Drosophila melanogaster: one gene and its partner. The protein of the gene in region 2 purifies or fractionates together with the protein of the main gene of each other region. This does not show direct contact. Each region holds a gene or a part of one and is shown on either strand. Other genes may lie near its edges.

Evidence for each region. The genes of interacting proteins can lie anywhere in the genome.
Region 1: the proteins of CG17819 (region 2) and Jhbp7 purify together in Drosophila melanogaster (affinity purification with mass spectrometry, with the first as the bait; one large-scale study listed by BioGRID). This does not show direct contact.

What each region holds. Positions count from the first base shown.
Region 1 is NT_033777.3:25,235,588-25,239,344, forward strand, and holds Jhbp7 (juvenile hormone binding protein 7), read left to right. Parts: upstream 1-2,026; 5' UTR 2,027-2,125; coding exon 2,126-2,192; intron 2,193-2,249; coding exon 2,250-2,487; intron 2,488-2,612; coding exon 2,613-2,858; intron 2,859-2,913; coding exon 2,914-3,115; 3' UTR 3,116-3,308; downstream 3,309-3,757.
Region 2 is NT_033777.3:21,884,152-21,887,467, reverse strand, and holds CG17819 (uncharacterized protein), read left to right. Parts: upstream 1-1,917; 5' UTR 1,918-1,932; coding exon 1,933-2,073; intron 2,074-2,135; coding exon 2,136-2,270; intron 2,271-2,328; coding exon 2,329-2,565; intron 2,566-2,622; coding exon 2,623-2,670; 3' UTR 2,671-2,740; downstream 2,741-3,316. Other genes in the region: dnd (dead end), read left to right, coding at 326-328, 1,052-1,180, 1,244-1,375, 1,434-1,709; fit (female-specific independent of transformer), read left to right, coding at 3,037-3,316.

The sequences.
Region 1 (3,757 bases), 3.4 Mb from region 2:
GAACCAGTCAAAGGCGGTTACAATTCAATTTCAAATTTGAAAATATTTGTAATCAATAAATTCGTTATAAACAATAGAATATATTAAAGTATTGAAAAAGTGTAAACTATATGTATGCTTTATAATCTTTCTTTATATTTATTAGATTGTGCTGTTGGACATTCCAAGCCAAATCTTATATAAATAAGTAATACAAAAATTAAGTAAAAATTTTTATGGTTAATTTTTGCTCTTAGTCCGGAATAGTTGGAAACTTTAAATGATTTCAAACATTATTTCGCTAACAAATTAATTTTTATCCCTAACGAACACAAATATTAATATTTTTAAACCTTAGTTTGTTGTGAAAAACAAGCATTGCTAGAAATTTCCAGACTTGAAATTAATATTTAAGAACCAGAAAAAGTTAATGCCATTCAGAACGATTAAACCACATCAAACCAGAATGCCACCAAAAATTCCCAAACTCATCGTGAATTCATTAAAAATTGAAAAGTAACCGCCATTCATAAGCTTTCCACTTCGTTACAACGTAGCTAAACTAGTTATAAACTAAACGTATTTACTGAGTTTACAAAGAAAAACGAAATCATGTTTACGCGCAGATGAATCAACCAACTCAAAATTGAAATGCCAAATTATTTGCAGGCAAGCCCGACGTAATAAAATAAAAGCGTGTTTGCATATATTACCATATTTCGCCCCCGAAAATCCGTTGTAATCTCGATGTCTACGACAGCGTCTAGGAATTGGCTGCGCAAACACATCAAAGTGGACAAAAGTGAAATATTTGGACTCACCTGGCGCCAATTGGATGGGTAAATAAACAGAATGCCGGTTTCATGCCAATCACACACCAAATATACATATACATATGTATATATGTAGTATATGCTAATTGCTGATGACGAACGCCAGGAGCCTTTAACTAGAATTTGCCAAATTAAATTCACTCGGCCCGTTCCGAACGTCGCCTGTCCAATAGTTTTGAAAGTGAAGCCACCTCGCCGAGCAACTTTTATCCGTCGATCCATCCATTATCGATTATCGATGCCGTTGGAACCTGTTTGATGTCGTCCAAAATGCCCGACTATGTCTAATTGGTTTATGTCGGAATTGAGTTGTGTTGGCCACAAAAAGATTTATCTTCGTACATATGTCCAAAACGGAAATTTCATAGTTGGGAGCCTTGGGATGCATTCTTCCTTCTGGTCGGAATACAATTTCATAACTTAAGTGATTTTTATCGTGGATCCTTAACCATGACCTATTCATTATCATTCCCTTTCAGATTGCCTGGCCATTTAGCACACTTAGGAATTCCCCCAGAGGTAGGTTCCCAATTCCAAGTGCTGATCTCAAAGCAAATATGGGATGAATAATATCATAAGCCAATAAGTACGAATTGATATTTGCACTTTATTAAAAGTGTGAACAAAGCGCGGATTCCATTTCACGGAGTTTGAATCTATAAAAAGTACACAAGATGCCGAAATATAGTGCAAATTATATATGTATAATTAAATTATATATATATATAATGCATTGCAGGATAAGTGGAAATATATTGGTTAATTGCTTGAAAACTGACTGGATTGAGCATTAAAATTTTGAGTTTCGCTGCCTTTTGTGCGCGTTGCCATTGTTATTGTTTATTGTTATTTGTTGCTGCATGCTAATAATATTAATTAATAATAATGCTGCTGCCAATTCTGGTTAGGGGTAGCTGCGATAAAGATAAAGACTGCGATGTCTATGATGATGAGGAGAATCCATAACACGAAGCGAAAGAGATATACACATACGAATAAATAAAAAAAAAATATAAATAAAAATAGCCAGCAATCAGACAGACAACAACAACAGCAGCAGCAGCAACAACAAGAAAAACAAGGGCCAAGACGCGACAAGTCAGGAATGAATAAACTATGAAGTGTACTGGTTGTTGTTGGCCACATTTGTTGCCGCTCCATCGTTCTGGCCGATCAGAAATTTTATAAATGCCGCCGTCTGTCCAGAGCCGATTTACAGTTTGCCATTGAACCTGGTCGGGCATTCGCCAAATCGTCGAGCGGTTGAATTTCGGGGCGCTTGAATTTCGTACGTAACTAGATCCATATCCAGAATGATGCTGCTCCAGCTGGGCTGCGTGGCCCTCTTCTGCTGCTTGGTTAGCGGTGCCTCGAATTTCCGTGAGTCCTTTGGCCAACAATCCCAGTGCTTCGCTAATCGCCAGCTTATCCTTGCAGCTCCCGAACTGCCGCGCTGCCACATGGGCGACACCAGCTGCATCATCAACGTGTCGCACATGCTGATCAGACAGCACGCGAGGACCGGCTATCCGTCCGCTGGATTCCCCCAGGTGGAGCCCTTCCTGATCAAGCGCTTCGACATCTCCGACGGACGCACTGGCTCCCTGAATCTAAAGCTCAACTTCAGGGACGTGAATGTGGAGGGCCTGTCCAGTGTGAAGTTCGACAGAGCCGTGTAAGTAGCAAGTGAAATGAAAAGTGATTTCCTTCTTAAGCAAAAGTGAAGAAGTTCTCATGTTTATTAACAGAAGAAGATATATTAAGTTGATTGCACTTATCCATCATAATCGTATTTTTCAGTGGCTTTGGCGCTGATCCTGCAACCAGCAAGTTTGAGATGTACGGATCCTTTCCCAAGATCGTGCTGAAGGGCAAGTACGTGGCGGATGGACGCATCCTGATCCTGCCGATTCGTGGCGATGGCGATGCCGAGATCGTGTTGCACAATCCCAAGTTTTCGGTGAAATTCAAGCCGGGCACACAGCAGCGCAATGGACGCACCTACCTGAGCGTGGATAAGCTCAAGGTTCTGGTGGAGCCACAAAAGTAGGTGCAGTTCGGATTTTAGCTGAGATATACTAACATATTTGTGTTCCCACAGGATGAACATTCGGCTGGAGAACCTCTTTAATGGCGACCAGGCATTGGGCACCAATCTGAATCAGTTCCTCAACGACAACTGGACGGAGGTGTGGAACGAGCTGCATCCCTCCATTCATGTGGCCATCGCCGAGATCATGAAGAGCGTTCTCTCGCAGCTCTTCAAGCGCTTCGCCTACGAGGATTTATTCCTCGAGAACTGAGCACTAGTCGTCCTAGTCGCCATCAGGCGCCCTAGGACTTTAGGCTAAGTGTACGAGTATTTCCTCACCTATCCAAGCTATTCTCACTCACATGGGGCGTTGCATTCCGGCATTCCGGCCATTGACACATCATCATCGTATCATCGTATCTGCTAAGCTAAGCTTTAACTTGTAGAATAAACAAAAACATTCGAAAAAAAACTGGTTCTGCTTCTGCGGGGGGCCATTGTTAGCTAAAACGTGGATCTCACTATTTCCGCACAAGTGTCGCATACACTTTTTGTTTCATTTTTGGCCAGCAATCAGCAATCAACAGGCAGCTCACGTGATGGAACGATTGATTCGAAATTTGCATGACAAAGGCATTATTGCTAAGGTGACTATACTTGTGGATAAAAGCGTAGTTATACATACGCTTAAAGTATTAAAACATCCAACAAATTGAAATAAACACCTTAATTATTATGAGCAAATACTTTGTGTCTTAAAAAAGACGAAGATGCATGCTCCTACTACTACTCCTACATCCTGTGCAACTAATTTAGCCCAAAGTGCACTAAAATTAGTATATGATATGATGATATGATATATGACTAAGATCTGCTTGTCTTAGAATCAAGAACTAACTAAATGGCAGTGCTA
Region 2 (3,316 bases):
CCGCACCCCCACCACGTCCCCCGTCTAACAATCCTTTGCAGCGGTTGCTCGGCGACCGTTGGCGCTGTTGTTGTTGCTGTCGGAATTTGTTAGAGCGTTGAGCGAATTTTGTTTTCAGTAGTTGTGCAGCGACGAGCCAGTGATGTTGTGTTTGGTGGTTGAAGTTGATCCAATTCTCAAGTTATCCGACTTTTCCTGAGTTGACCACCAGAAGACACCGTCTTGGGCGGCCAGAGCAGATTGCCGAATCGGGGGGATACAGATACGGATATAGTGGTCGGAGATCGCACCGCCTCCTGGCTGTTATTCTCGCGTTAATTATACGATGGTAGGTTGTCTCCCGGTTCCGTAACAGCTAATTAAGTGCCTTGTTGTTCCGTAATTGCACGATTTGTTTTCATTTTGCGATCGTCGCCATGGAAACCCGCCTCAAAAACTATACAACACTTTTTTGTTAGAGCAGAACTTTTTTCAGCACTACTTCGAAAGTTTTAGGCGCGTAATTATCGGTATTCGAAAAAAAAAACCAAATTGGTGGTTCGGAAAACAAAGAAACATAATAAGCTTTTTGTAGCACACAATGGAAAAAAGAGTTCTTAATTTTTAAGTGAACATGGCAAATTTTTTTACCAATAAACATTTTTATTTCATTCAACCTTGTTGTCGTTTCTTTTGGCGAGCCCTTATCTCAATTCCAACAATATGTTTGTAAAGTTCACCTGTTGATAAGCTTTTTGCATTCTATCACTAAGAGAACGTTTTAATTGCAAGTTTTTTTTTTACAACTTTACATCGTCTTTATTGATAACAACATTGATAATAACAAAACATGTGTGTTTACAAGCATATGTTGCATTTATAAAAACACATATATTTATTAACAATTTTACAAGTTTATAAACTACCAAATGTAGATTGTTATTCAAAATTTCAAAGATAGACCAGAGGATACTACCGAGTCTAGACTAATACTGGTAATCAGGTGCTAGAATAACACACCTTCAAAAAACTAAGTAGAAAAAACAACAACTTAATAGCTTACAAATTTTAGGGTCTGCTATCGCTGTTGCGTAAACTGAGACCCAATCCGGAAAAGGAGGCTCGCATCCTGCTCCTAGGATTGGATAATGCTGGCAAGACCACGATACTGAAGCAGCTGGCATCGGAGGACATAACCACGGTGCGTATAAAGGCGGCGAACTTCTTCCGTTTTCCCCATAAAATACGGAGTGAAATCCCGCAGGTAACGCCCACGGCAGGATTTAACATCAAGTCCGTGGCAGCCGATGGTTTCAAACTGAATGTATGGGATATTGGTGGTCAATGGAAGATACGTCCATATTGGAAGAACTATTTTGCGAATACTGATGTGCTGGTAGGATTGTTATAGATCTAAACTCAATTCTGTTAGCTAATAGTTTCGATTATTTCAGATCTATGTAATTGACTGTACAGATCGGACTCGCCTGCCCGAGGCGGGTAGTGAACTATTCGAAATGCTCATGGACAATCGGTTGAAGCAAGTTCCCGTGCTGATTTTCGCTAACAAACAGGATATGCCGGATGCCATGAGTGCCGCCGAGGTGGCCGAGAAGATGAGCTTGGTGCAACTGCAGGGACGAACCTGGGAGATCAAGGCCTGTACCGCTGTGGATGGCACTGGACTAAAGGAGGGAATGGACTGGGTCTGCAAGAATATGAAGAAGTAATCTAAATTATAGTAATCGTCGCCTGTTAAGTTGTCCCTAAGAACTAAATATACGTACCTACATTTCAACTCACCAAAAGTATCACAATCTCTAATTGTTGGATGAATCTTCCTTTTTTCACGTGTATCTTTAAGTATAAACTGAATATATAGTTGAGAAGGCTATGCTAGTTAAATCATTCATTTTTACCTGACATCTAAACTGAAATCAAATTTCGATCCCCATGTGTTTTTACGGACCTGTTTCGTTCATAAAAAAGATCCTGCCCGCAGGCTCTCAGAAATCATGTCTGCTCATTTTAGGATTAGACAATGCGGGAAAATCCACGTTGACAGACCGCCTGGCGGAAATTTTCAATGGAGAAGTAAGGCCATATATGTGATGGTCCTATCTCCATTTGATAATGTTAGCATAAACTATTTGCAGTCCAAGGAATCTAACAATCAAGTTAGTGAATGGAGCTTCACCATAAATAATTTCAGAGTCCAGTTGTGGGATATTAACGGAGAACTGAAGAATCGCCAGATCTGGCCAAAGTATTATAAGAAAGTGAATGTTTTGGTGAGAGGAGAACTTATATAGAACTTATATAGACTCGACTACAATCCCTGAACCGTAGATTTTTGTACTGGATAGCACGGATGCACTGCGGCTAAGCGAGGCGCGATGTGTTTTATGCGATGTTTTGATGCACCAGGAACTGGATAATGCTCCGCTGCTGATCGTGTCCAACAAGAAGGACGCCTCGGGATCCCTGTCCATGTCCACGGTTATCGATTTGATGGGCCTATATCGCCTAACTGGTCGAGATTGGACTTTTGAGGAATGTTCCATGCGGACAGGGTCTGGTGTTCAGGTATATGTTGTGTTCTATATTCGAAATCTGATAATTTAACTTATACTATCTGGGTAGGAGATCGTAAATTGGATTAACGAAAAGATCAACAATAACAGGAAGTGATTTATCACATTTTTATATTTTCAAAAATTTGGCAACCTATTAACTAATATATTAAATATATATTTAATGTAATTTAGCAACAATAGTTTGTTACACTTGTATTATAGAAATTATTTGCCTCAAATAATGATTCATTTAGTTTGCTGATCGGCAAACACTCTTTTAATTAATACATTAATACAGCCATTTGCTAATCAATGATTTTTGACATTGACCTCTGTCAATAATTGAAAAACTCGTGGCTGAGTAGCAACATTGTGAGGACAAAGCCCTTTTGCATTATCAGTTATTAGTTGTTGTTGCTTTTGGGGCTATAAAAGGGTTAGTTATAGAATTGACTGGCACAGTTTAACAGCGATCGTTGAAATGAACTCAACTCTGGTGATTCTACTTCTTTCGGCTCTGGCTTTGGTGCAGGCCAGGAATATTCGTTGGTCTGAGGAGGACAACTCGTCCCAAGGTCCAAGTCTAAGCCACCCGCATCCGCACTCTGTCAACTGGCCCTGTGATGTGGGTCACTTCCCAGAGGCATTCATTCTAATGCACAAGGTGGATAAGCGACTGGAACGAATTGACAACGAGAGTACCAAGAAACGGATCGAGAACTACGCCGTCAATCAGTTGAGGCAGTGCATCTTGGATGGCC